Notamacropus eugenii: one gene and its partner. The protein of the gene in region 2 purifies or fractionates together with the protein of the main gene of each other region. This does not show direct contact. Links are inferred from orthologs where the notes say so. Each region holds a gene or a part of one and is shown on either strand. Other genes may lie near its edges. The genes, in order: RIN1 and ABL2.

Region 1 (14,687 bases), about 450 Mb from region 2:
CCAGAAGTTGGGCGTCGATGGGGTGGGTGGGAAGGAGCGGTGCTTGGAAGTTACAGTATCCGGCTCATTCTGAGCCAGTCTAACAGCCCAATCTTGACCGTCTCCCTTCGCGCCCGGTTGGGAGCTGCCAAGAGCCTCCCGACCAGCAGCGACCCCCACACTAGCCCATCCTCCGAACCATCATCTGGGGTGGGGGTCCTGTGGAGGAGGACTCAGTCAGCCCCACCAGCTGCCTCGGACCCTTCCATGTTCCGGGAAGCAAAAACCTTCCCTAAATCGAGAACTCCCTGAGGGCAGGCGCTAGCTGATTTTTCTCTTAGTAATGTCGGAGTTGTGCACACAGTTAAGTGCTCAGTAAAAGCTTTATTCATTCAGCAGCAGTCTCAGCTCTCCAGGCTTCTGGGGGTCTCTAGGCCTGGTTCCCCCCTCCCAGGCAACTTCTTTGCCCCAAATTGGGTGTAAAAAGTGGTTGTGAGTGCAGAGGAGGGATCACGGAGGGTTAACCAGCAGGGGCGTGGGGCCTTAGGTCACTTCTCATGGACTCCCCCGGCTTCGGACTCAGCTCCTCCTGCCTCCACCCCCTCCCCTTCCCCTCCCTCGGTCTCTCCCCCCTTCTCTCCACCTCCCTCTGGGCTCTGATTCTCCAGTTTTGACCCTGCTGCTGCCCCAGGAACCTCCTCCGTAGCTCTGGGTCCCTGGTTCTCAGCCTTCGGGGCTCCCTCCACCTGCCGGTAGATGAGGTAGCCGGGCCCCGAGAGGTCATGGGGCAGGGTGTCCGGAGCCAAGCGGCGGGAGCCCTTCTCATCATGCAGAAAGAGGGCAAAGGTTTCAGGTTTTGGCACCCGGAACTTGGTGGCACAGAGCAGGCACAGCGTGGCGGCCGAGGAGCCCGGGGGTAGGGCCAAGGTTTTGGAGGTGCAGCCATTGATGGGGTCCTGGTAAGCCACCCGAAGGAGATGCTGGGAAAGGGGAAGGACCCAGGGTCAGTGAGACCCTGACACCTGACCAATGGCCAAGGGCTGGGTCCTAGGATATTGTGGGGGAGGGGTGGCAAAGAAGGCTTTCTTCTTTGGGAGGAGGACCCGAGGAGGGGACACAGGACAACGCTGAGCTGTGTGAATTTGGCTTCCTGAGCTTCAGTTTGTTAATCTAGAAAATGGGGATAGTAACCCTGAGCCCACCTTCCTTCTTCGAGTACTTAGAAGCCAGAAAGCGCTATCGAAACACGATTTGCTCTAATGGTTTAACAATAACTGCCCTACTGATGTGAATACAAAGGTGAGCTTCCCTTTTGCTAGTTAATCCTCTAAAGGTGCCCTAAGGGTTGAGGGGCTCTTTCCCTGGCACCTTCAAGTCTCCCCCTCTCTTGGAATACCACAAAATGCCCCCCTTACCCTGAGCCAGGAAATTCCTTGTCTCCCCTCCACCCCTCCTTCCAGGGCTAGCCTAATAATAAGCAGCATCAGTAGAGCTCCCCTTGGGTAGGAGAGAATTGACTAAATGAATTCTTTCACATCTGAAGCAGCACTAACAATTCTAAACCTGGTCCCTGTTAAACAGCTGCCCTTGATGTCAGAAAGATCTGATGTCTGATGTCTGAACTTTGGCACCATCTCCTACCTGGAGACTTTGCACCTGGCTGTCCCCCCTGCCTGTCAAGCCATCCCTCCTCTTATTGATTCAGGCCTTGAGCCACCCCCAACAGGAAGGCCTTGGCATTGACCCTGCTTGGTCACTGATCAGGTGGGAGATGGTGTCAAGTTCAGACTGCCAGACTGGCTGTTTTTCCTGTGTCCTTTTTGTGTGTCCTTTCCTCTCTGAGTCTTCCTGGAAGCTTGGGAGCATGTTTTGGAGAAAAGGGAGACACATGACTGAGTAGTCAGGTGGGGGGGGGGGGGTGGGAGAGGGTGAGGAAGCAGCTAGGGGGCTTGAGACAGGCTGGACAGGAGAGAGAGAGGTGGGTTGAACTGAGAGCTCCATTTCTAGGACTCTGTCAGATTTCCTCATAACTCTATGAAGCAGATATTATCCTCCCCATTTGACAGAGGGTAAAACTGAGACCCATCAGGAAAAGAATTCATGAAGGGTCACTAAGCTAGTGTCAAAGGTGGTCTGCAGAATCCAAGTCTAGACTCATCTTACAAAGTCTGTTCTTTCCAGCTGTGACATTCCACGTTCTAAAGCCTCTCCCAGCCCTGACATCTCTAAGGGCCCTCCCAGATCTCACATTCTGTGCTCTGATTCCTTCCCAATTCTCTGACATTATCTATTTCAAGGTCCTTCTCAGCTGACATTCCATGTTCCAAGGTCCCTCTCAGCATTAACATCTGTTTTAAACTCCTTCCCAGGTCTGACATTCCCTGTTCTAAGGCCCCTCCCAGCTCTGATCCACTGCCCTTCTTTGGCAGGATCCTCAGGTTACCTTGAAGTTCCTGGTGGGAGGGAGTCTGCGTTGCTCCCAGAGGCTGAGGGAGCGTTGGAGCTCTTGGGATGGACTGATGGGCTGTGAGCCAGCCTGGCTCAAACTCCCCAGCAGGGTCAGGCTGGCTGCCAGGCTGGTGAGGCAATAGCCCCCTGAGGACAGGAAGGTCTCAGGTGAGGGTATGGGACAGAAGCTAGTCGAGGCAGGTGGCCGCATTGGGGGAGTAGGACAGGGAGGAGGGAGAGGAGGAATGAGGAGGGGGGTGCTTACCCTCCCCTGTGAGCAGACTGGGCTCAAGCAGTTCTGTTATGTACTCAGTCTCGGGCAGCAGGTCTGGGAGGTCACACTGGGCCAGGACAGCACTGAGCAGAGGCAGGAATTCATCGGCCCCGGCATTCTCCCCTGCCGAGGGAGAAACCCTTAGCCTCCCCTTCTGTCTTTTCCACAGACTACAGCTGGGGAACAAACCCTGCAGGGGCCGGGTGGTTCCTGGGTCAGCCTCACCCCAGCTTCTGGCTCAGGCATACCTGGGGATGTGTTTCTTTTGTGTCCCCTAGTCCCCAGTGGCTATTGGTCTTTCTCTGTTCATCTCCCTGTTCCACAAGGAAGGGGGGTTCCAGCCCAGCCCGGACCCCTCCACTGTTTGGATTTTAAGGTCTTGGGAGGATGAGAGGGATGGGATCTCTGGACAACTGAGCCTTCAGCCCAAAGCTGCACTGGGGGCCTCCTTGGAAGCCAGAAATGCTAGGGGCAGGTAGGGGAGGAGAGGCCATTGACTTCAGGCCAGGAAACCAAAGGAAGACAGCTCTCCTTCCCCCCAGGGCCACTGTGGTCCCTTTTAGGATGGTTTGGGGGAAACTGAGACCCAGAGACTTTGAAGTGGGCAAGCGGATGCTCCAGTTCTCAGTTTGAAGGTCCCTCCTGGCTCTGACATGGTCTGTCATGCATTCTAAGCTCCCTCCCATATAAGATGCCACATGCCCTGTCCTCCATACTGCCCCTTCAGGCAGGTACCTGCCCAGCTGCTCAGGGCCTTGTAGAGTAGCTTGCAGGCCTGCAGGAGACGAGTGACCTTGGCCGTGGGAGAGTAGCCCTGGAGGAGTTTCAGCAGCTTCTGCCGGATACGCTCCATCTCAGATGGGGAGGGGAGACTGAGGCAGCTTCCCAAGGCTCTGGGCCCCTGAGCCCTGGCCAGCTGGAGGCCCTCTACCAGCCGGCCCAAGGATCCATCTTGAGCCAAGCGGAGCCTCAGGCGGGCCAGAAGGAGAGGCCGGAGGGGCTTCAGCACTGAGCGCTGCAGAGATTTCTCTATCACCAGCTCTGGAAAGGGGCAAGAGGAAAGATCCCGGAGGGTAAGGCAGGGAGGGGGCAAGGAGGGAGGGGATGGGCCAGGGAGGGAAGGGGGATTGTAGAGTCACAGAGCTAGCACTCCTAGAGCCTGGAGAGGCTCCTGATCCAACGCTTTAGGGGGAAACTGAGGCTCAGCTAGGATTTAAATCCAGAGCTTCCTACAGCCAAGGTCCTACGCACTGTCCCATGTTGCCCCTCTATGTGCTGGAGGCAGGGGAGTGTGATAAGAGCATTTAGGATGAAATGAGTAGGAAAGTGGGGAGCTAGCATGGGGGAGGGGCAGAACTGAGGAAATAGGGGAGAAATATGGGGATGAGGATGAGCCTGAGGTCTCAGAGCTGGAGGGGGTGCCACTCACCCAGTCTCTCCTCAGCTAATAGCTTTTCTTGGGCCAGTTCAGCCACCATCAGGGTCTGTGCTTGGCTCAGCACCTCCCGCACCTTCTGTAGCTCCTGGGGTTCAGGCCCTGCCCGCACCTTGGTCAGCAGGTCCTGTACGAGTTGCCCAGTGACTGTCTGTCTGTCCCGGGCCAGCTCCACCACAGCTCGGGCCACTTGTCTCTCGGGGGCCAGGAGGGAACAGAAAGCATCACTCATGGACCGAAGCAGCCGGCGCCTCCGCCCTGGGAGAGGGGATGAGCCCGGCCTCCCAGGAGGGCCACCTTCGTCCTCCGAGCTGCTGGGGGAGCCACTGTCCACCTCCTGGAGGGAGGGTAGAGGAGCTGGGCTTGGGCCAGTACTCCCTGGGACCCGGTAGCCCCCTGAGCTTTCCCTTCTCAGCAGCCTGCGAGGGGGTTCAGTTTGAGTCTGGGCAGGAGGACCCCCCGAGGGCAGCGGCACGGGGGGCGGTGGGACAGCAGGGGGGGACAGTGGGCTGGAGGTTTCAGTGGACACCCGAATCTTGAAGCTCCTTTTGAATTTCTCCCGTTTGGCTGGGCCCAAATCCCCAGGAAACAAGGGATTGAAGAAGCAGAGGGCTCCTCCGGTCCCCTGGTCCAGCTCCTCTGGGGACCGAGGTTTCAGGCGGGGAATCGGTGGGGCCTTGGTGGGAGGGACTGCTAGGCCTCCCTGGGCCTTGCTGTTCAGAGAAGAGTTCCAGAACTCTGGGGAAAAGAGAATTCAGAGACCCTGAGCCTCAGTTTCCCCATTTGTAACACAAGGGGCTGGGACTGGCCAGCCCACAGATGGGCTCGGTGATCCCAGTGGCCCCATGGCTCTCCATCTCCCTCCCATCTTTTACATGAGGGGCTTGGACCATCTCAGAGATGGCCCTTTAGGTCTCTTCCAAGGGTAACTGCCCCCAGAAGGGAGCTGGGGGAGATTGAGTCCACTGGGACCCTCCTCTCTGGCTCTGTGGCTCAGAAGGGCAGAAGAGTACAGACCCATTCCCAGATGAGATATAGCTTCTAGCTCCTTGTGGGTGGTAGCCCTGCGGATGGCTCTGGGCAGCTGGAGTTGGAGAAACAGGATGTCTCTGGATGGCAGAGAGGAGACTGAGTCAGGATCTAGGGGAACCCAGGCTCTATTGCAAACAGAGTCCGAGTCGGGATTGGGGGGCTTCCTGGATGGGGAGAAGGGGAGGCGGATGCGGGGGAGTCGGGTCCAGGTTTGCATGTTGTGAGCTCCCCACTGAGTAGGGGGTAGGGGGCACCAGTCTGCTCACCGACTGTGACAGTAGGCGGAGATGAGCTGGATCAGGTCTGGGAACGAGAGTTCAGAGCCCTCCAGGGAGACGCCTGCAAGGAAGGGAAGGTGTCAGTTCTGGGAAGAGGCAGCCCTCTCCTCAGGCTGCCAGCCCCCCCATCCCCTCCCCCACCCCGGGCCTCACCCTCAGGGGTTTCCTGGATGTCGTGGCTGGAGACAAAGGATGGTCCAGAGGCCTTGGGGAGCCTGACACACAGGGCCTTACACTGTCTGGTGTTGGACTTCCGAACCAGGAACGTCTGGTGAGGGAGGGGGGAGGTTCAGAGGGCCAGGGGGCCTGGGCCTCTCCCTCACATACCCCCAGCCTCCTCTTGTCTCCCTCCTCCTCCATCCTTCCTAGCCTCCTGGAGGAAGGCCCATGGCCACCCACCGTCCCTCACCCCAGGGGGTTCCCTCTGTAGCACGTGGAGGGCAGCTGCAGCATTTGCACTAAGCTGTAACCACACGGGCTGGGTGAGAAGCAGCCGCTCTCGCAGGCTCACTGTGCGCCCGGGGCACTGGAGCTGGCCAGTCTGCTCTCCCCTGGCCTCTGGGACATCATAGATGGGGTCTCCAGCCAGGCTGCAAGAAAGAGACAGAGACATGGGTCTGAGAAACAGCTGCCTCTTTTTTGCTGCCAGACCTTCCCTGAGCCTTTGGAGCTGATTCTTCTGGGGTTGGGGAGGGGGGGCGCTCTCCTTCCCACTTGTGTTCCTTGCCTCAGTTTCCTTCCCTGTCCAGTCTCCTCTCCCCACCTCCTGTGTATTCTCCTCTTCCTTGTCCCCTGCATGTTAACCTTCCCCTCACCCCAGTCTCATGAGCGCACGCCCACACACACAAGCACACAGGAACACACACACAGTGGGGAGGGAGACACACACAGGGACACACGCACACACACAGGGACACACACGAGCTCCCAGCCTCCAACTTCCCCAACTTTTCTCCGGGGAGTTACCTGGAAGCAGAGCTGGCTTCCCCAGACAGCTCCATGGTTGGCACAGGGCTCTCCAGAGCCCCTTTTCCCTCCTCTCAAGACTAAGAATCCAGGGCCCGGAGCGAAGGCGCAGTCACATTTCCAGTGAGTAACACTTCCTGAGAGGAGCTCAGCCCTGGCACACCCCAACATGTTAACTCTTCTCTGCCCACAGCACCCCTTCTGGGCCCACGCAGTGCCAGCTGCCTCTGCTCCAGTTAGCACCAGCTGCTCACCATCCCAAGGCGCTCCAGGACCACAATGCCCGGAGCAGCTCGGTTCAACTCTCTCATCCCAGGCTCTCCCCGCCCCCAAACCTGCAGACAGGAGCGGGTTAAGTTGGGCATCTGCCTTGGGCCCACGCAGGGCTTGGTGACTCACCCATGGGGCATCCTTGGGTTCAGTCCCCTCCCTCCGAGAGTGCCCCCTCATGGTTGCATGCTGCCTCCCCCCAGCATCTCTCTTGTAGCTCTTAGGTTGCCATGGTGAGGAGGCTGCATTTCCCCCACATCGTTGCCATGGTAACCACCCCCTTTTTCTGGGGGTGGCACTGACAGCATTAAAGGGGGATGGGAAAAGCCCAGCTCTGAGGTCACCAGTGCACAGCCCAGCTAAGGCCTCTCTGCCTTCTCCCCTCCCACCCAGCTCCTTTTGGGTCCCATCCAGCTGGGCTGGGCCAGGTAGGTCTGGGACACTGGAAGCCACTCCTCCCAGGATGTACATTCCTGAGCTGCCCTGCCCTGCCTCCAGCTGGGGCCTCTCACAGGTCACTGGAGTTAGAGACGCCAGGGGCAAGTGGGCAAGAGCAGGCGCTTGCAGTGAGAGGAACTGGGTTTGGATTCCACCCTTTTTTGGGGTGGGGGGATTAGAACAAGTATTAAACACCTACCATGTGCCAGGTACTGTTCTGAGCATATTACAAATATCCCTTCCTATTTTACAATTGAAGAAACTGAGGCAGACCCAAGTTAGATGACTGACACCATCAGTGACCATTTGCGGGCATATCTGAGCACAGATCCTGACTGCCTGGAGGCTCAGAACTCTACCCACTGTGCGCCTTTCTGTGGCACTTGGTGTGAGCGTGGGCAATTGACTTCTTTCATCATCTGGAACAAGATGCCCTGGTAGGCTCCTAGGACCCGGTGCTTCCTAAAGTCCCTTCCCCTCTGATTTGTGAGGAATACTGAGGGGGAAGGAACAGGAGAGAGCAAGAACGAGCCCTCCTGTCAGGATTCCTGAGCCTGTCTGACCTCTGAGGTCAATCCGAGATCTGCTCCCAATCCAGTTTACAGATTTCTAATCCCTGGTTTGCCTGGGCTCCCGGCTTGTCAGGGTGCCTGCTGGCAGAGAGCTCAGACCATGCTAGCACTACCTTTCTCTGGCCCACAGGCACTGGGGTCTTGAAGGGCCTCTGTCCCCTGCTCCCAGCGGGGGGGGGGGGGGAATGCCCTTCCAGGAGAAGGTGGGTTTTCCCTACCCTGCCAAAGCGGGAGGCCTCATTAAGGTCTCCTGGCAGGAGGGGAGGAAATGCGGGACAGGTACACGAGAGGCAGGGCAGAGCTGTTTTAATTATTAAATTTTAATTATGATTCCATGATTCTAATTCCCAGGACCCTAGAAAACCTGGGCTCCTTCGTTCTCAATCCAAAAATATGTCATTTCAAGGAGCTTCTGAGGAACAGCAGAGATGCCAGCTGGCCCTGGGCCCCTACCCCTGGCAGCCTTGGGTCAACAGCATGGCTTCCAGAGCCCTAGGGGCTGGGCTAGCAAAGGCTGGCTGACACTGGGCCATTCTAAGAGTCTACTGGCTCTGAGTGAAAGTGACAGGAGACCCAAGAGGCCCCCATGTCTGAGGATGGGCATCCAGGACATTTGAGTCAGCCCCACATCTACAGCCCGGTGGCATCCCAGCTGTCAAGAGACCAGACGGTGGAGAAAAGGGTGGTAGAGTTCAGACCATGGAGTCATCTGGTGGCTGGAGGGCCTAGGAGCCGGTCCAGGAGCCCCAGGTGTCCGGTCAGGCCTTGGGTGCAGCTTGTCTGCCCTTCAGGGGCTAGAAGACATGAGATCACCTATGGGCAGTCCCACCTAGGTGGCAGGGCAGTAGCCCCAGGCCAAGAAGGTGGACCTTCTGAAGGAGAGGGAAGCATGTCTAGGTGGGACTGGAGAATGGGACTGGCAGGGCTGTGTGGATGCCCCAGGAAGGAGGGCCAGCAGCCTCAAACAGAGTCTTTTGGGCATCCTCGTTTGAGGATCAGAGCTGTTCAAGGTGGCACTGGAAAGGTTGGATTGCTTGGTGGTTAGCCAGGGTCACAGCCAGAGAGCCAACAAACCCCTCCCCCTCTTCCCCTGAGCAGTGGGAGCTAACATTCCCCACAGGACCACCCCCTTCCTCGACCCTGTGAAGAGGGTGATGGGCAGGCCTGAAGGGGTCACTTCTGCCCTTACCCTCAGGTTTCCTCTTCTGTGGGGACACAGCGACTTTAGCCTGGGGGAGAGAAGAAAAAGTACCCTACTGCCATGCTGCCTCCAAGTCCTTCCTGGCTCAGGGATTAGGGGATGTACCAAGAAGCAAACTTGAGAGATGAGATTTGAACCAGGGCCTTGGATTCCTACCCCAATGGCCTTCCAAGGGGCTTCTAGGCAGGACAGCAGATGGACAGCTGACCCCTCCCCTGCCCTCCCGTCAGGAGCTCCACATGGGGCACAGAGGTCACACCCTCAGCCTTGGGTTAGGGGGCCTCTGCCCCCCTGTACCCTCTTTCCTTCCCTATCTTGAGCTCTGCCCCCCTATACCCTCTTTCCTTCCCTATCTTGACCCTTTGATCACTTCCACTCCACACCCACTGCCTATGGCTGATCACACCTTTCCAAGCCCCAGCTCCCCTACTATCTGCAGCCTTCCCACCTATGGCACCAGTGAACATCACAAAATGGAGCTGACTGGGCCTGCTACAAGGGATGTCATCTCCAGTAGGCACCTCCCCCTAACCCTCCACTGGCTCTTCCCCACATCAGGGCAGCTTCCTCAGACCTGCCCATTCCTCTTCAAGACTTTGATGGCTCCTGCCCCAAGCTTAGACACTTCTGGAAAAATGGAGGCCGTTCAGGGAGAGCCCCACCTGCCCTGAAGACCCATCCTCAGTTCCCATGGATCCAAAGGTCATTTCCATTCAGCTGATTCTGGATTCACCCAGCCCTAAGCCAGCTGAGCTCCAACCTCATGTAGAGAGTACCACCATCCTCTCTCTCAGCCTAGACTCCCCCTGCATGCCACACACTCAACAGACCTCCATAGCCAGGGCCTGTGCCTTCTCAGCCTCCCAGAATACACACCCTTCTCTCCCCTGACACAGTCTGGACTACTGCAATGCCTGCTGGGAGGTCTGCCTGCCTCAGGTCTCTGCCCACTACAGTGATCTCCCTAAAGCATAAGTCTGACCGTATCACCCCCCCCTCCCATTAACTCCAGACTCCCTCCAAACACTAGCACGAGCAAATATAGAACATTCCAAGTCCCCACTCACCTTTCCTGCTTTCACTCTAGCCTCCTGGCTGTTCCCTCCAGCCCCACAGGGGTGCTCCCTCTCCATCTCTGCACAAGCCCACCTTCCTATGGGAAGTCTCTCTGGTCACCCTGAGCTCCAGGGTCTTCCTTCTCCAACCACCCTGTTTAGCCTTCACTAGACCAGGAGCTACTGGAGGGCAGGGATTCCAGGGCTTTGCATAGTGCCTGGCACTCATGTTGCACCAAATGCGTATTTGTGGATGATGACAGCTACCTAGTTAGCGGTGGCAAAGTCCTGACTCTGAGGCAGGCCCTCTTTCCTTGGTCGAACTCCAGCCACTCCATCCAGGCCTGCTTTCCAAAGGACACTTGGACTCTGCCCCTGGGAGTGGAGCAGGGTGCCTTACCTTCTGATCTAAGCCTCCCTTCTGCCTGCTGCCACTCCCTGCACCCTCCCCAGGGCAGTGATTGTGTCTGCCCTTAGCAGACTGTCCCAGGCGGCCTCTCCTAAAGGCCCCTGCTGGGAGGGCACCAGATAAGAGAAGTCAAAGCAGCCATCGCCTGCCCCTGGCTGCTCTCCTCATCTGCCTACCTTCTTAATGGCTGTCCAGTCCTCCAGAATGTCCACATCCTCCAGCATGTAGACGATATAAGGACCTGGAGAGGGCGTGGGTCAAGGAAACTAGAAGCTAGGCCTGGCCACCCACATTGGCATTGCCCCCACCTCTGCCATCCTCCAGGTCACTTGAATAATCATCATTGTATAGAGAGACCCACCCCCAAGCCAATCAGGGCCAGGCCTCAGGGACCTCAGAAGTCATCCTTCTCAGGCTACATTCCTTATTCAATCACCTCTGGACTCTAAGCTGGACTCCTGAAGCCTCCCCCTGGGTCTCAGGCCTCCACAGGACTCCAGGGTGGGTCCTCCCATGGCCCAGGCCATTCCCAGCTTAGGTGGTTCCCAACTGCCTTGGACTGAGTACAACTTCCCTATCTGCTTGGCATTTAAAGGGACCCTTCCAGTGGGACAGCCTCCACTTTGGGAGCCTGTGTCTCCAGCCTCCATGCCCAGCCTCCTCTCACCCCACTACAGAAATCCTGGCTCCTTCCCGGGCCCAGGGGTCCCATCCCTATCTGACTCCAACATTCTTGTGGGGCTTTTCTCTGGACCTAAAGCTCCCAGGGGCAAGGACAGTTTGGGCCTGCAGTCCCGGGCACACAGCAGGTACCTAATGTGTGCCAGGTGAATCCCCTCTCCTTTCCAGTGCTCTGATGTCACCTGGCATAACCCCCACAACTGCCAGGGCTGTGATTCCAGTTCCCTCCCCTGATGTTGACACAGCCCAGAAGGACCACCTAAGGCCTGAAGCAGTGACTGACTTGCCCAGGGAAGGACAGCCAGGATGTGTCAGAGCCAGGACCTGAAAAGGGCCTCAGAATGGAAGCTCTAAGGGGCCCCACCTCATCTTCACAGGAAGGATGTGCAGGTGCCCCAGGTTGGAGCTGGGCTTCTGTCCTTTGGGCCCAGCCCTTCATAACCTGTGCAGAGCAGGAGGCCCAGAATGTTGAGCCTCTAAGATTCCTTCCAGGTGTGAGCCCTGCCCTCCCTGCAGAGTATGGCACAATCCCTTCCTTGCCTCTTGGGCTCTGGGCCCCTTGTATACTGGCTTGCCTCGAGGGGCCTCCACCAGGGCCCCTGTGATATAAGGATACCAGAGACGAGCGGGGCCTTCTTCCTCTTGCCTGACTGCAGGGTCTCCCAGGATCTTGAGCTGCCCTTCGGGTGCACCTTGTCATCCCACCATTCTGTGCCAGAGAGGGAGAGTCAGCAGGCTGCCCTCACCCCATACCCTACCAGGTTCCCCCTCCCCCACCTCACCAGAGCTGATGTCTAGGCTCTGGCGGTCCTCCTCGAGGCGCTGAATCCGCTCCTGGAGCTCCCCCTGGAGGGCATCATACAGCAGCAGCCGCTCACTCTGAAAAGGAAGCCAGCGGTCAGGCATGGGGGCACCTGTGCCCTTGCCTCTGGCTCTGCTGTACCCCCTTCCCACTCACCTCCAGGTGCTGCCGGGCTCCCTGAAGCTCACATTCATACTTGGTCCTGATCACATCCAGACAGAAGCCCTTGTAGATGCCTGGGGGGAAGAGAGAAAGAGCAGATCTTGACCGGTGGGTGGCACCTCCCAGGCAGATGGTACCTCAAGAAAGGTGGTGGTGGGGACAGGGCCTGAGAGAGAAGGAACAGCTCCCCTGGGAAGGGGAGAGACAGCTTCCAGGGGCCCAGGGTCAGGGCACTCACCTGCCACCTGAATTCGAATCTTGAGACTTCGCTGCAGTCCTCCAAGGGGCTGGGTGTACTCAGGTGCCCGTTCGGCCCCAACCTCTTCTAGCCGAAAACGTACCTGGCTCAGTCGCTCCTTGAACAGCCTGAGAAACAAGAGTCAAAGAATGCCACCCACCTCTACCATCTCATTGGACAGAGAGAGAAACTGAGGCCCAAGGTCACCTAGAAAGTTAGTGGCAGAGTCAGGATTCAGCCCCATGTCTTCCAAGCCCTCTTATCATGCCATGGCAAGGTTGCACCAGCATGGTCCCCTGCCTCTGGGGGGGCGGGGTGTCAACTCAGCTTCAGGGGATCCAGGAATGCCAGGCTTTGAAAGGGGAGCAGGGAGGCAGCTCCCTGAACTCACTTCTCCTTGAGTTCTGAGAACTGCTTCTCCAGGTCCGACATCTCATCGAGGCACTCGACGCGGCGACGTTCACAGTCCTCATCATCCATTTCTGCAGGACACAGGGCCGGTCAGTCTGTCCCAGCAGGAGCAGTGCGGGGTGGGGTGGAGGTGAGGACAGGGGTCCCAAAGGCTCACCTGAGCTCTCGCCATCCGACTCTGTCTGGCTGGCACTCTGCTCGTCCTCACTGCCTTCCTCCTCCTCTTCCAGCCCGTTCATCTCTGGGGCAGAGTCCCCATCCCTGTCCCCATCCCCCTCCAAGGTTTTGGCTTCTTTGCTCAGGGGCTGGCTCGGCATTGTCACTCTGAGAAGAGAGGGCATCTTTTGGGACCATACTTTGCCTGCCGTAAAACCCTACAGAACCGTGGGCTAAGACTAATTTAGCTCTGTAAAATAACAAGACTGGACGAGGTCACTCAGGTCTCTTCTAGTCCCAAGTTTCCACTCCTCCCAACTCTGAAGCCAGGAATGAACCTGCGGTGGGCACAACATGATGCTGGCACCTCAGAGAGTGCCAGGGCCTTGCTCAGGGTCACATGGCAGGTAAGGGCCAAAGGGCAGAAGGAAACCTTCATGATTGTGGGTATCATTGCTAAGGCAAAGTAGCCAGGGAGTCACTTGCCCTGGGGGTTGGGTGGTGGGTGGTGGGTGGGTAGGGCTCTCAGTTTCCTCAATCTTCATAAGAGGACACAGGACTAGGTTCTCTGGGGGCCGTGTCCAGCACTTTCCAGGGTGCCCCAATTAGACATGGGGTCTGAAGGCTTGGCTTCAAAGCCTGGCTTTGCCATTTCACAGGGATTGCAGGGAGTACTGGACAGAAGGCTGGACTTGGGATCTGGAAAAACTGGGCTCAAATCCTGTCTCAGACACTCAGACAAGTCACTGCCCCTCTTTGTCTGTTTCCTTTTCTGTAAAATGAGGATTGGACTAAACTCCCTTCTGAGTTGAAATCTATGTCCTTTTTACCTTGGGCTAATCAAGTCACCTCTGGTGGGTCTCAGTTTCCCCATCTAGGGTTACCCTCAGGGAGCTCCCATTCAAGTGTACATAATGTGTACTCATGTACAGGTGAGGGGGAGGGGTGTCTGAGACACCAGAGAACCAGGGAAGGTAAGAGATGTGGGGGTGGGGGGCAAGCCATCAATGGCAAAGGCAGAGAGGAGAGAGGGAGTTCAAGGGGTAAAGATGAGTCGGGAGGCATGAAGGTCAAACAAAGAAATCTCTATCCCACCCTCCAGGTGGTGCACCAGGTGGTGACAGGGCAGGGAGGAAAAAACCAGCCTGGAGCTGAGGCTCCTGCCAGGGGATCCAGGCTGGGGGACGATGACCCTGGCTCTCAGCCTCCAGTCTGTCCTGGGAGAAGGTGAGCCCAGCCCAAAACAATCAAATCTTTACCTTCCCAGCCTCTGGCTGAGCCACACCACAGACCAAGGAAGGCAAAATCAAGCTGGACTCTAAAGTGAGACCCCATTTAAAGAGTCCCAGGCCCTCACCAGAAATGTCTAAGTCCAAAGGGGTCCAGCTGTCCTTCTCTGAAAGGGAAATCTACGAACTGCCCACCTCTCCCCCCAGGCTCCCCCATCTAAGCAGTTAGAGCCCAGATTCCCAGGGGCCCACACGACCCAAGGAAATTCCATGCAGATGAGTTACAGGAAGCTGCTTTCCACAGAAGACCTTTTTAGACCCTAAATTAGCTCTTCCGGTGCCCTTAAAGGTTAATAACAAATAACATTGCCAGAGCGCTGGAAAAAAAGAACCACCGACTGGGTGCTGGGGACAGCGCAAATCCTTTACAGTGTTCACAACAACCTTGGGATGTAGGAGCGATTATTTCCATTTCCAGCTCAGGAAACTGAGGCAGACAAAAATTAAGTGAGTTCCCCAGGGTCACATCACACACAGCAAGTAAGTGTCTGAGGCTGGATCAGGTCTTCCTGACTCCAGGCCTAGTCCCTGACCCACGGGGGCCACCTCTAATTAGATTAGTTCATTTGGTCCACACCACACCTGTGGGGG
Region 2 (15,110 bases):
ATTCTGCTCCCCCCTCCCCCAGGTTATCTTCCTATATCTCTCCTTTTCACAAACTGCTAGAATAAGTCATCTATACTCGTTGCCTTCAATGACCCTCCTCTCATTCCTCCTTAAACCTCTGCAAACTAATTTCTGACCATCCACTCCACTAAAGCTACTCTTCTCCAAAGTTCTAATGACCTCTTAATTGCTGAATCTAATGGTCTTTTCTCAACCATACTTCTTAACCTTCCTTCAGTATTTAAAATTGTTGATGAACCAACCTCTCCTCCTGGATACTCTCTTTTCTGATATTTCTGTGACCCTGCTCTCTTTGTTCTGTCCACCTGTGTCTTCAGTCTCCTTCACTCAATCACCAACCTTATGTGCTGTAACAGCAGAATTATTTCAAAGGATCTGTCCTGGGCCTTCCCTTTTCTCTCTTCACTCTCTGAAGAAACTCATCAGCTCCCAAGTGTTTAAGAACCATCTCTATGTAGACAACCACTGGATCTGTATGTACAGCCCTAGTCTCCACTAACCTTTAGCTTATATCATCATCCGCCTCCTGACATTTCTATCTGGATGTCCTATAGCAGTCTGAAATTCATTATGTCCAAAATAGCGGTCATTACCTCTCCCTCCCTGATCTATTCCTCTTCCAAACTTCACTATTTCTGCTAAGGTTACCAACAGCTTTCCAGATACAATTCTTCCTTGACTCCTCACTCTCCCTTGTGCTACACATCCAATCAGCTGCTCAGTCTCATCAATTCTACACCTCCAGTGCAACACACCTTTTCTTGCATCCATACCTTCCTCTCCACTCAAAATATTAGTCAGTTTCATTCTGGCCTTCATACCTCTCAAATGGTCTTATTGCAATAGCTTCCTGCAACTGGTTTCCCTGCCTCCAGTCTCTCCTCTTTCCAATATATCTTCCAAATAGCTGACAAAGTGATATTCCCAAAGCACAGGTCTAACTATGTCACTCCCCTGCTCAATAAACTGCAGTGACATCCTATTACCTATAGGATTAAATTCATCCTCCTCTGATATTTAAATCCCTTCAAAACTTGCTTCCAATCATCCTTCCCAGCTTTATCTGCCTTCACCTTAAGATCTAGCCAAAAGGCCCTTCTTATTAATTCTTACATACAAAATCCTACGCCCTATCTCTCTGCCTATAGGAAGACTAACTCAATGTATTCCTGAAATGCAATCCCTCTTAGCCTTAGCATTCCGAGATCTCTGCAAAGCCTCATTCCTCAAATTACCTCGTACTTACTTTACATACATTTTGTATACACTTCTAAATGTACACATTGTTTCCCTCATAGAGACTTTTAGTTTTGTCTTTCTATCTCTAGTACCCAGCACAATAACTTGCATACAGTATGCATTTTTAAAATGCTTGAGTTAAAAGAACTACCTTATACCTATAATTGTAGATAATACTAGTAAAGAAACTTCTTTCTGTTAACATTCTCAATTTTAAAATGGAGAAAAGTATACTTTCTCTTAATGACTCTACAGAAATTCAAGTAAGATACTTTGAGTTCTTCAGAAGTTTGTAACCTAAAAGTGATTTGACCAAAATCATTTTGCAATACCATTAAAACATTTTAACCAAGCCTTACCATAAAATCATAAAAATCTAACTATAATATTACTGATCTTATCCAAAAAAGATCAGCGATCATATCCCAGATATAATCTCAGTCATAACTGCTAAAAAGTTGACTGTGGTCTGCTCATCATTACCATATTACTTATGTCATAGCTAAAATAATGTTCCTATAGCACTGTTCCCTTCATTGTTTTACCCAGCATCTGAAGAACTGATGAACACCATCAGGTGGAATTTACCTATATAGTACAAATTTGGCTGTATTACTATTATAATCTGAGTTTTAAAGTAAATAAAATAACTGCCTATATTGATCAATGGTCTTTCTACCTAAAAACCTGTTTAGCTGGCTGAATGTAAGATTTTATGATAACTGAGAATATTTTATAATGATGAGTTCCAAAAAGCATTCCCCAATGTTAATATCAATTTCATATTATTCATCATTTGACACTTAGAATTTGGGTTTACAGTAAGTTACCAGTAAGCTATCAGAAATGTTGTAAGTATATATTGATCCAAAAGCTCCACACAAGTGTATTGTATTCTAGAGAAAATATGGTCAAGGGTCAGCTCTAGGTCCTATAAGAAACTGATGATCAAGGACCCCAGGCTCTTCCTCCCTCTACAACTACTCCCACCCAGGCCTTCAAGAGCCTTGATTTCTCCAGCAACACAACTCTATAGGGTTAAAATTAGTTCTTGTACCAATACATAAAAAAGTTTATAGCTGCCAAAATCTGTGCTCACATTTCTAGCTAAATGGCCTTAAGTTCAATGGCCTTAAATCAGTGATGTAGATCTTGACACTAAATCTATCAACATCAAGGTAACGCCCATACAAAGGCTAAAGCTAAAAATTATAGATTCATAGACTCTTAAAAAACATCCAATCCAAAGTCCTTATTTTACAGATGGGGAAACTAAGGCCCAAAGATACGAATTACCTCTGGTCATCCAGCTCAGCAGTAGCAAAGCTAAACTCAACTATCATGACTCCCATTTCTATACTCCTTCATATAATTAGTTTCTTGAATTCTTCAGTAACCAAGGTAAGTAATGTAAGTCACTTTAAACCACATATACATTTTACTTTTTAGGAAAACGATTAATAGTGACTTTTCCTTTTCTGCATCCTCAATCAAAATGTGTTGAGAATTATTCAAAAATTTTCAGTTTCAAAATGTCTTATTCAAATATATCAGCTATATTTCTTTAATGAATTTACATTTGAGTCACAAATACTTAGGATGTTGTAGAGAGCAGTAAATGAGCAAGTAACCCAAGTGCTAGTCACAATTATTAATAGCTAAAACTCAAAGTCTAAGGATAAATAAAATGTCTCACCCTGAATACAATACACCAAGAGAATGCAAGTGGAAAGAGTTATAGTAGCAGTCAATGTCCTTAGGTCAATTTGCATGTTCATCCTTTGAGGTATTTTTTTAAGATCTCAGGCTTAAGAAAATAAAAGCCTTGACAGAAAATAACTCCAACAAATCAACAAAAACTTTAGGAATCAACTGTGTTCTCCATAAGGCGTGGATGTTTAGACCAATTATGCTTGCTGTGTTTCTAATGCTAGCTCTTGGCTGTTGTTTTAGTTTTAGAAAAAATGTTTACTCAATGCTTCTTTGCGGTCACAAAATGCTAAAGACAAAATTAACCTTCATTCATTCCAGTTTGCTGGATCTGACATATTGAAAGAGCAAGTTATCAGAACTACATTTGTATATACTGTTTTTGCTTGACCTTGACACACAAAGTAGAAGGTTTCTAAACTCCTCCTTCCTGGAAAGCAAACCAGGAACACAAGTGGCCTGGTCCTGCTGAGCTTTGTGTTCTGCTGGATCAAAAGCCAATATACTGGCATCATTCACTATGGAGGCGGCTGCAGCACCACAGCAGACTCAGCACTATTTCAGCAAGAACTGTAAGAAGAATCAAGTCAGAAGAGTCTCAAATTGAGATTTTTAAAATTCTAAATCTGGCAAAGCATTACATTTGAGAGCGTATTCTCTATGCTTTTATTTAGATGACCAACCCAATATAACAGAATAAAGGTTTGTTCTAATTAGCTCATTATTGGCAATTAACATTCACAGACTGCAAAGATTCAGTGACCAATAAACCAAGGGTTACCACAAGAATCATCAACATTTCACATACAAACATAGAAAGTTAATTTAACAGCAATCAGGAACTCAAAAGATTGTCTCTTTACCTGCAGAGTTAACATGCTCATTGAAATCTGATTAGCAGAAACCATAGAGTAACATTTGTGTATTAAACATAAATCACAAATAACAAATGTATACAAACTACACAAACAAATAACATATGCAATTCCTCTTGGCATAAACGTTAAAGAAAGTTCACAACTTCTGTAACGTTACAATAAAAACTCCTATAAAGTTACCTATTTCACAAACAAACAAAAAGATCACCTACAGTTTCAGGTGATACTAAAAACTACTTGAAAAGTTCTAAGACAAACTTTTTAAAGTACATCAGTTTTTACCTCTATCACCATTATTTTAAAATGTTACCAAACAATATCCTCAAAGGAAAACCCAACCCAACTAATGAGCCCTTTCACCCCTAGTGACATGGGCAGTGGAAGACAGATAAACATTTGAATACTTGGTAATATTTTTATATATTAACCGCTATTGTTTATCACTTTGTATAAAGATGTCTTTGCAATTAAGGTTGTGATAAAAAACATTCAAATTTCAATTTCAAAAACTATCAAAGCTACATTGGATATTTTAAAAAAGCAAACACTCATTCAACAAACATTTATAGACTCTCTGGTATGTGCCAAGGACAATGCTAGCTAGGTGCTTTTGGGGAACACAGGGATCTGTATAAGCTAGGGCTCCTACCTCTGGGAGTTTGCAATCTATAAAGGAAAGAAGATAGTGCAGAAATAACCATACAATCAGTGCACTGATAGGAATAACTGTATCAGAATGCAGATTTCTAAAGTGCTTCCACTGACAAAACAAGACAAGCTTTATTTTACATTGTTACAACACTACAATCAAAAAAATTTTACCCCCAGTTTTCTAAGGAGGCATGGATTAGTTCAATGATTTCAATATAGTAAGTAAGGTTACATTAAGCCTTTATTAAAGGTTCTAAATGGTATTCCTCAAATAATAATAAGGAGTAAAGTGTGACTCACCAATGAAAATGAAACTACTTAAATGTTTTTCAATAAAGAATACTTAGATATAACACACTAATTAGTTAAATTTCTAAATGAAGATTCAGCTAATAACCATTGCTCTCCTGGTCCAAGGACAATGCCTATGATGCCAAGGTTCAATCTTCTGACAGAAAGAATGGATTCCCCCGGACTATGATAATGGGCTCAAGAAGTACATCTGAGTAGCAGTATCATCTTTATATACAAAGATACTGGAAATATGGAATGCAACAGTCACATACCCCAAATCCTCATATTTAACACCATATTGATTTTGAAAAATTTCTGTGCTAGTAAGGGTCAGCTCTAGGCTCTGGAAGAAACTGATGATCAAGGATCCCAAGTACCTCTTCCCTCTACAACTACTCTCACCTAGGCCTCCAAGGGTGTTGATTCGTCTACTAACAGAACTCCTGCGTCATCTTCCCCAAAAGATTTATGAGACCATCCCATGAAGGAGATCCTAATATACTTTAGTCCCACTCCCCAGTCACTTACAAAAAAAAAAAAAAAGACAATCTAGTTTGCCTTTGGAGGCAACAGAAGAAACCTGGGTATAAATTCAGGAGTTTCTCTAAGGACGGACCCTCTCCTTCTCCCTAACCCCCACCCACCTCTGTACTCATAAACTCCCCACTTGCCTACTCATGGCCAAAATGTCTTAAAAGAAAAAGCCTTTCAGTCTACAATTATAGATAAAAGGTCACAAATACCAAAGGAGATAACATATTTACAAAAATCATTCTACTTACTTTAGTGGTCATCAGTTTACCATAAATTAAACATAAATAATAACAGATTTCCCCAGTTTTGATAGGTAATGAAGGAAAGCATCAGGACTTTGAAGAACGCTTGCTCTATCATGGTGTGGATAAAGGATACAAGAAGAGAAACCTGGAAAAGCAGAAGATGAACACAATTTTGTCTAGTCAGACCTATTTACGTCCAATATAAATACAAGTTGTGTATTTGTATACAATACAATGTATACAATACAAATACACTGCAGTATTGTCATATAATATGGGGCAGCTAGATGACCCAGTGGATAGAATGCTGTGTCTGGAGTCAGGAAGATTCTTCCTGAGTTCGAATTTGGCTTCAGACACTCACTATCTGCATAACCCTGGGCAAGTGACTTAATCCTGTCTGCCTCAGTTCCTCATCTGTAAAATGAGCTGGAGAAGGTAATGGAAAACCACTCTAGTATCTCTTCCAAGAAAACTCCAAATGGCATCACAGAAGATCAGATATGACTGAAAAACAATTTAACGTCATATAGTTAGAAATGCAGACAAATCTTATGCATGACTTACAAAGTTTGTTGTTTTTAAGTAAAGAAACCCAGCTGACTTCATACAGATAAGTTTAGCTCTCTGGAGATTTATTCCTTGAGGAATATAATGACATAGGTCATTATATTCTCAAATGTTACATAGCACTATAGAAAACAGCTCATTACATAAGTGAAACTACCTGAAAATACTGTTTCATTTGTATTGGGAACAATGTGGCACAGTGCATAGAATACCAGACTTGGAGATAGGAAAATCAAGATTTGAGTCCTGCCCCTAACCTATACTGGTTATGTGAGTTTAAATAATCACTTTCTCAGTCTCAGTTTCCTCATCTATAAAATGGGAATAATGATAGTACTCACCCACCAGAGTTGTTCTGAAAATCATCAAATTAAATAAAGAAGATAAAATACTACCCCACAGATTTGGACACAAAACTCAAGGTCTTAAAATGCCATTGATAACCAAAAATCTGAAAAGTCATGTGGTATTCTTACCTCTTGAATACCAACAATGATTCACAACATATGATGCTCACAGAAGGGACTGACAGGGCAAGTGGCAAGTAACCAAGTAAAGTTTCAGTTGTAGCGATACCACCACCTAGCTGTATAAATTTTGTTAGAGATTGGACTAGATGAAGTCCAAGATATGTTCTAATTCTAAAATCCTACAATCTTGTTATTGTTCTAGTATTCCTAAGTATTATCTAGAGCACATGAAAAGAATTAACATTTTGGATGAAAGACTAAAATCAGGAAGTATATTCGACTACTTTCAATCCCTGCAATTCATCCACCAATGCAGATCATTACCCACGGTGACATCTCAGATGATGGTAAAAACTTGCTGTGTTTAATAAGAGGTACTACCCTGTTGCCAATCTAATATAATCTAATATAATAAGCCTATGCAAACTTAGCTAAAATGGAAAGGAGATACACAATCTATTATACATCCCATATTCCAAGACTTTCCAAATTGGCAGCATCTGCCAGACCTTAATTTCTACTGCTATAACCTTCAAGAACCCAGAGAATGCCAAGTCACAATGAAGTAGAGGATTTTAATGTTAAGGAATCTACCGTAACAATGTATATAGTGTGTGAAACAAAGTAAAGAAACACAAAACGGTAATTGGCTGTCATTATCATTGCCATACACTGTCCATTTTTCCTGGTTATTTCTGGTTAATTCAACAGACTAAGAGCTAACTACCACCTCTGATGTGCTGTCTACCCATCTGTGTGTGTATATGCGTGTACACACATGCACATAGATGTATGTGTATATATGTATGAGTGCACACATATGTACATATAATATTATATATAAATTTTACATACATCCAAGTATACTGGAGTAGTACAAGTAACTTGGAGTAGTCAGAGAAAGTAGTACTTTAGTCAGTCTTTGAAGGAGATGAAAAGGGAAGACATTTTAGATAAGGGGAACTGTGTGTGTCACAGGATGAATGTAGTGTTTGTGGGACAATGAGAAGTATCTAACTATGGTAAAGAGTTTGGGTGTTACTGAAGAATGCAGATGATTAAGATTGCTATCTGAAGTTAGAACAATAGCTATATAAATGATAGGTATCTAGATTTCTTTCAATATAGTTCTAACTCTAAATAGCAGTTCATGTATCAGTTATAGTTTGAGAATTTTTTATTGTAGATTCCAGGTCTATAAAGTTAATGTCAACTATTATTTCACTATTTTTCCTAAAGCATAATAAGAAAGTACTGCAGATTAATTCAGAATTAACATGAAATGTTCAATTTTCTAAATAAGGGCTCTTTATTTTCTTCCATATCTGTCTACTCTTTTTGAGTTATCAATTGAGTATCACAATATTTCTCTTCCCTTTAGAAAGGGGTAACAACTGTAAAGCACTTAGAACAGCACCTGGTACACAGCAGGTGCTTAATAGATGCTTGTTCCTTTCCCCCCCTTCCTCCTAAGGATCAACTTGCAACTTCTAGGATAGTTAGTATCTCTCTATTCTCAAATGTTACATAGCACTATAGAAAATAGCTCTCATGCACCTATCACAGTCCATTTTCTGTTATAGTTATTTGTGAATGTCTTATCTCCCCTACTGGATTATAAAATCCTTGAAAACAGAAATGTCTTTTATATATATATATACATATATATGTATATATATATATATACACATATATGTGTGTGTGTGTATATATATATATATATATATATATATATATATATATATATATATATATATATATAGTATCTTATATATTGTATTGTATCTTTGTACAAAACCCTTAGGGTTGAATGTCATGCCTCCCTCAAAACAGGTGCTCAGTAATATGATTGTTAAACCACTTGGATTTGAAAATGGCAACACTATTCTCCTAGTCACTCAGACTTGAAACTTTACAATCAGGTTTGACTGATTCTTATTTTCATTTTCTACAGGCAATTACCAAATCCCTACTAGTCTTCCTTGAGACATCTTTCATACTCCTTCCCTTCCATTTCACTGTCACCAAGTCAGGCCAATGCTAGTCATTTCATGCTTAGATTACTGCAACAACCCTCTATAGCTGACCTCATCAACTCATCTCCCCCAATTCCAATCCATTCTGTATAGCATTGTCAGAATAAGCTTTCTTACATTACTTTATGATCAACAAGATTTTTGCCCTCTCAATAAAGTTGTGAGGAAGGAGCTTTGTAAACTGTCAAGTACTATATAACTGTGAGCTGCTATTTTAATTGTGAGAGCATTCCAACCTTTCTAAGCTAACTTGCACTGAATAAATTATGCTATAGGATCCTATATATCTATACCCTGTGAAAACTGTCATTCAGAAAAAAAAATCTGAGACAATCATTTGAATGTGTAACCTTCCTTTCCTCTGTCACAAATTCTAAGAGAACATTTATTGCCATTGCATCAACTATCACCTTCTTCAGACCCTGGGGGGACTTTGTGCTCAAAAGATCTAGTAAACAGCTGTGCCCCCCATTTCACACTCCCTGCTTCTAACCTAGCTCTTGCAGCCATCACCCAGGGAATTAATCTGTATAGAACGGTAACCCGGAAATTACTTCTGCAGGTTCTGCAGCAACCAGAGCTAGAGACAACTCAGAAAAGATAATTCTCAAAGTCCTTAGAACTGTCAAAACAGCTCAACCTCACAGTTTCATCAATGGAAATGATATTAAGGAAAAATGTATGACCATCTACTTCACTGCTGAACCCTAAAGATCACAGGACCTTTCCAACTTACTCCTATACATGCTGTCTCCCCCTACCATAATGTGGACTCCTTGAGTGTATCCAAGGCATTAACTTTATATGTCTTCACCTGTGGTAAGAACTTACTAAGTGCATTTTAACTCATTCAACATCATGCCAGTCCTCTCCTCCAAAATTTTCAAATGTTCTTTGCTACCAAATCAACTCTAAGCTAGCTTTGAAGGCCTTGTATGGTTGCACCCTACCACCTCACCATCCACATTCTCCAGTAACACTCAAAACAAAATCTTCACCCTCAGTGTCCCACAAACACTACATCCATCCTCTAAGTCTTTACTCTCATCTAAAATGCCTTCTTCCCTTTTCCCTCCTCCTTTCCACCATCTTCAAAGCCCAACTAAGGTCCCACCTTCTGTATCTCTCTTCTCAACACTGATCTTAAATTATTCTATAACTGTTTCACATGTGTTGTTCTTATCTCCCCAGCTAGACTGAAAATTTCTTAAGGGGAAAGAACATGTCTTTAGGTTAGATCTATTTCTCAATCAACAATTATTCATTGAGTACTAACATGTGCTACATACTACATAAACAAATACAGTATACAATGTAAATGGGAAATAACATGGGCACCAGTAATTGGGGAAAGAGAACAAATGACAAGGAAAGGCTTCCCTGGGGGACAGCACTTGAGCTAAATGTTAAAGGGAGTTGCTTAGGGATTCAAGGCAGAGGCAATGAAGAAGTACATTAGAGGCATGAGGAATTGTCTGCAAAAGCTAATAAAATGTCTCGAACAAGGTATATGTAGCCAATAAGCCCTTTTAGTTAAGACTATAGAGTGTGAAGGAGAATAATGTGTAAGAAGTCAGTAAAGACAGACTGGGGAGAGATGAAGAGATTTAAATGCCAGAGATTATATTTTGTCCTAGAGGAACTAGGGAGCCATGGGATCTTGTTGAAGAGGGTAGTGACATGGTCTAACCTGTGTTTGAAAAATCACTTTGGCAGCTGTGTAGAATACAAATTGGAGAGACCAATTAGAAAGCTATAGCAGCAGCCTAAGCAAGAAGAGAAGCATCTAAATTATAGTAGTTGTGGTAAGAGTGGTGTGAAGGGGTTGCATGTGAGGAACTGATAAAGTTAAATGAACAACTGACAAAACTTGGCAACTGATTGAATGGGGGGGTGGAGGGAGGAATAAAAGTGATGCAATGACTCCAGAGTTGTGAACCAGGATGCCTGGAAGGATGGTGATATCCCAGACAAAAGTGAGGAGTTAGGAAAAAGGCATGCTTTGATTTAAAAAAAAAAAAAGGCTTTTGCAAAGACTTCCATTTCCTAATGCTTCATCACCAAAACTACTTTGTATGTGTGCGTATGTATGTATGTGTATACGTATGTATGAATAAGGAAATATACTGCACATTGTATTCCCCTGTAGAGTGGAAACCCCTTGAGAGCAGGAACTGTTTTGATTTTGTCTTTTTCTCTCCAGTGCTCTGAACACAAGCAGGTGCTCAATAAATACTTCTCAACTGAGACAAAGATTTTTAAGTTGCCTTTCGAATATCCAATGGGAAACGTCCAATGGTCAGGTGACCAATGTATGACTGGAGCTCAGGAGAGAAACTAGTGCAGGATTTATCAGCTTCAAAGTCCCTGCCATGATCATGGAACCTAAGGGATCTCATGAGATCACTGAGAAAGAAAGCTTCAGACGGCAGAACCTTAGTGCACAACTCACAAAAGTACTTCGATCAATATTTTCCTGAGAACTGTTTATCCACACTTTCCTCCATATGGAATCATCTCAACAGAAATTAACCCATACGACACCTTTATCAAAGGCCCACCCTGGAAAGATCAGTACAGCTGTTAGCCCTGTACAGCAGCACCGGATACAGACCCCATCTCCTTTCTCATTCAAAAACCCATCCATACCACCAACCATCCTTGGAACCGACAGTGGCTTCTTTAGAAAACCCGTCCCTCAATGAAGTCTCCTCGGGAAACAGCCCCCTACTTCTCCTCCCTCCCTCCAGGCTTGTGGGGCTCGGAGCCGCACAAGTCCCGTATGGCTCATGCCTCCAGGCGCCCGATGCGCCTTTCCCCCTTCTTTATGTCTCCATTTCGCAGATTACACGTCGTGGCTTCGGCGCCTACTGCGTGCTGAGGGCTTGGAGACACCGAGACAAAACCCGAACGCTGCCCGCTCGGGAGGAGCGATGCGAACAACCTCCAGCCAGGATCAATGGGGGGGGGGGGGGGGGGGGGGGGAGTCTCCAAGACTGGGGTTCCTAGAAGCTGGCGGACTTGCGCCCCCATCCTCCTGACACCTACGTTCGTTTCATCTGCTGACCTCGTTCGCCCCCCTTGGATTAGGAGTCCATCTGTCCATCCCCCGGGTACAACTCACGCGTCCTCCGGGCCTCCCCCTCCCCCTCCTTCCTCCTCCGCGGGGTCGCCGGGGGTCCCCGGGGCTGCCTCCCTCGCGCCCCGCCCGCTCGCCCCCTCCCTCACTCACCATGCTGGGTGAAGATATTGAAGCCGGCCTCCTCCGCGCGCCCCGCCGCATCCCTCCTGCGCCCGGCCGGCCTGGCGGCGCTGCTGCCGCGGCTCCCGCGGGGCTGCGGCTGCTGGAGCCCCGGCGCCTCCCCGACGCGGCCCACCTGCTGCCCCATCCCCGCGCTCGCGTACTCCCGAGCCCCCGCCGACCCCCGGTCACATTCCTCCCTTCCCGGCTCCGGCCTCGGGGCTCCCCGCCCGGCGCTCGCTAGCTCGCTCGCCGCGGCGGCGGCCGGCCCGGCCGAGCAGCCTTCGCGCGCGGGGTCTCGGCCGCCGCCTCCACTGGGCTGCGGGCGACTCACGGGCTCCGGCGTTCCCTCCCCCTCCGGCGGCCCCGCGCCCCCAACGCCGCCGCCGCCGCCGCCGCCGCCGCCGCCGCCATCTTAACCACTGAGCACGGGCGGAGCGTGGGACAGAGCGTCTCCCTCCCCCCCCCCCCTCCCCCGACCGGCACCTCCGCTACATGGGGGCGGGGCCTATTGCCGTGGCTCCGCCCAAGTCTCCGCCCACCGCTCCTCCCGGGCCTGTCCTCCCCTGCCTGCTCGGCTGCCCCCAGCTGCGTGCATCCCTCTCCACCTGAGCGCTGGTCCTCCGTTCCTGGCCGGCCTCTAACCCCTCCATTCCAGGTCCACGGGCGCCTCCCACGCAGTCCTCCTCCACTTCCAACTCCTCGGAGGGCGGCCGGCCCTGACCTCCACCTGCGTCAGGGTGGGCAAGCAACGGGCATTTGCTGAGTGCCCACTGCGTGCCAAGCCGGGGGTGCCAGTCCATACTTCGAATCGGCAAGACCTGAGTAGGACAGTGACCCTGGACAAGGCACCTGACCTCTGTGAGCCTCTGTTTTGTAACATGGAGATAGCACCTACTTCGCAGGTTTGTGCGTTGGACCCAATGAGATGACATTGGTAAGGCGTTTTGCAAACCTTAGAGCGTACATGAATGCTTGTGATCATTATCAGTCAGTCAATAAGCATTTATTGAGTAAGCCTGCTGCGTACCAGGCACTGCGCTAAGTGCTGGGGATTCAAAGACAAGCACAAGACAGTGTCTGCCCTCAAAGAATTCATAGCATGATGGAGGAGGCATGTACAAGCAAGTTGTAGATATAGGACAATATTGCATATAGTATATACATACACGTGTGTGTGTGTGTGTGTGTGTGTATGCAGGCAGGATAAATTGGAGATAATCAACAGAGGGAAGAGATGAGCATTAAGGGGGATCGGGAAAGGCTTCTTATGGAAGGTAGGATTTTTAGCTGGGATTGAAGAAAGCCAGGAGATGGAAATGAAGAGAGAGAGAACTCCAGGCTTGGGGGACAGGCAGTCAGTGAAAATGCAGGAATGAACAGATAGAGTGTCTTGGAGGAATAGCAAGGAAGGCAATGTCACTGCATCCACTTCAGGGTTAGTAAGATGTAAGAAGGCAGAGTTTCTGCATACTGGCAGTTCTGAAATCCAGCTGAGGAAACAGAAAATAAAGAAAATTTGGAGGGATGGGTGCAGATTAAAATAGTTGGGAGGAGAAAATTATCCTTCTGTATGCTCTGAGATTGTGAAAGTGTGGGCATTCCCTCCGCCAATGCAGGTCTCAACCCCCACCACCACCACCCAACCCCTACTACATCAAAGGCAGCCTTCGAATAATTGCTGTGGTCCTGGAACTAACCACCCTGCAGCCCACCTGGAGATGCACCATTATGAACTTGAGTCAGCCTGGCCCTCCGAAGAAAGATCAACCAACCAAAGAACAAGCATTCATTAAGTACTTAATAGGTGTTTGGCACTGTGTAGGTACAGCGGATAAAAAACCAAAAAATGAAACGGTTCCTATAACAGCTGGCATTCTATAGGGGAAACATATACATGGGAAGGAAGGCCTACACTTATGATTTTATTGGTATGAAGACCTTCCAGATGAGGAGGAAACTCTCTCTACCAATATAGGTTCATACCTTTTCTATAGCTTATACATACAACTTATGTATCTACAACATACATATATGACTTAGAAAAGTCAAGTTACAGTCAGTATATGTCAGAAGTGGGTTAGAACCCAGGCCTTCTTTGCTCTAAGACTAAATCTTTATCCATTTCCACCAACTACATCATGCTGCCTTATACAATATACACATTTACTGTATACATGCATGCACATCATGTATGTGTGTACTATATACAAAATAAAAGTATCACTAGCAGCTGGGGAGAATCAGAAAGGCTTTCAGTAGAAGGTGGCCCTTGAGGTGAGATTTGTTAAGAAACTGAGACTTCAGTGAGACAGAGGTGAGAAAGGAGTGCATTCCAGGCAGGGCAACAGATAACCCATGCCAAAGCAAAGAGGCAAGTGATGGAATGTTTTTGCCTTTCTTTGTATGCTCAGCACTTAGCACAGTGCCTGACATAGTAAGCACTTTTAATAAATGCTTGTTGCTTGATTGATTGATTGATTACTCTGTTTGAGGAACAGCTAAAAGGTTGGTTTGTCTGGATCAAAGAGTATGTGACGGGGAGTAAGATATACTAAATATGGAAAGGTCAATTGGCGCCAGATTATAAAGAGCTTTAAATGCCAAACAGAGAAGAGGAGATAAGACTACAGCTATTCTAACAGAGTCTAGACTACAACCAGAATCTCAGCTTGGAAAATTAGAACCTGTGAATCTGCTACCATAACTTTTAAGGACCCAGAATAACCTTCACAAAACTAGTAAGGCTTTAGTTGAAGAAGAATAAAGATGATCTCATTTAGCAAAGATCTTTAATTTCGTTGTTTTAAATACTCCCTTTACTAATCCAGTTCATAACCTCTTTATAGAACAAAATTATTATAAGGTAACCTATTATAATAAGGTAATTATTATAAAGTAACTTTGGCCTCAATTTCCGTGGATACATTGCTCCTCCAAAGTTCTAGAAATACCCCTGAGGGGCTGTAGTGTCTCTTCTCTTCTGTTGTAGGCTCGAGCCCTGATTCCAGTAGGTCCTCTTCCTTCTGTTAACTGCCTATTATTAACATCTCAGTTCTTTCTAAGAATTAGTATCAATTAGCTTTTATGAAGAGATACTGACTTCAAAGATATATCAAAATACATAAACATTTCCCCTCTATGCTAAAGGCAACACTGTTCCCTATAACACCTCTATCTCTGGGGAGAGTGAACTCAGACTTAACACAGTTTCTATATAA

Evidence for each region.
Region 1: the proteins of ABL2 (region 2) and RIN1 purify together in Homo sapiens (co-immunoprecipitation; 3 studies listed by BioGRID and IntAct, counting the BioPlex papers as one, with this or other methods). This does not show direct contact. The link is inferred for Notamacropus eugenii from reciprocal best matches to the Homo sapiens genes ABL2 and RIN1.

What each region holds. Positions count from the first base shown.
Region 1 is NC_092873.1:18,934,263-18,948,949, forward strand, and holds RIN1 (ras and Rab interactor 1), read right to left. Parts: upstream 7,279-14,687; 5' UTR 7,154-7,278; coding exon 6,413-7,153; intron 6,037-6,412; coding exon of another isoform or gene 5,856-6,036; intron 5,715-5,855; coding exon 5,600-5,714; intron 5,508-5,599; coding exon 5,435-5,507; intron 5,246-5,434; coding exon 5,154-5,245; intron 4,875-5,153; coding exon 4,131-4,874; intron 3,743-4,130; coding exon 3,437-3,742; intron 2,825-3,436; coding exon 2,693-2,824; intron 2,575-2,692; coding exon 2,423-2,574; intron 960-2,422; coding exon 528-959; 3' UTR 344-527; downstream 1-343. Other genes in the region: BRMS1 (breast cancer metastasis-suppressor 1), read right to left, coding at 8,398-8,486, 8,882-8,921, 10,534-10,598, 11,655-11,747, 11,821-11,917, 11,997-12,076, 12,241-12,368, 12,632-12,722 and 1 more. UniProt on the Homo sapiens protein: Ras effector protein, which may serve as an inhibitory modulator of neuronal plasticity in aversive memory formation. Can affect Ras signaling at different levels. First, by competing with RAF1 protein for binding to activated Ras.
Region 2 is NC_092873.1:466,386,761-466,401,870, reverse strand, and holds the start of ABL2 (tyrosine-protein kinase ABL2), read right to left. Parts: upstream 5,592-15,110; 5' UTR 3,486-5,591; coding exon 3,362-3,485; intron 1-3,361. UniProt on the Homo sapiens protein: Non-receptor tyrosine-protein kinase that plays an ABL1-overlapping role in key processes linked to cell growth and survival such as cytoskeleton remodeling in response to extracellular stimuli, cell motility and adhesion and receptor endocytosis.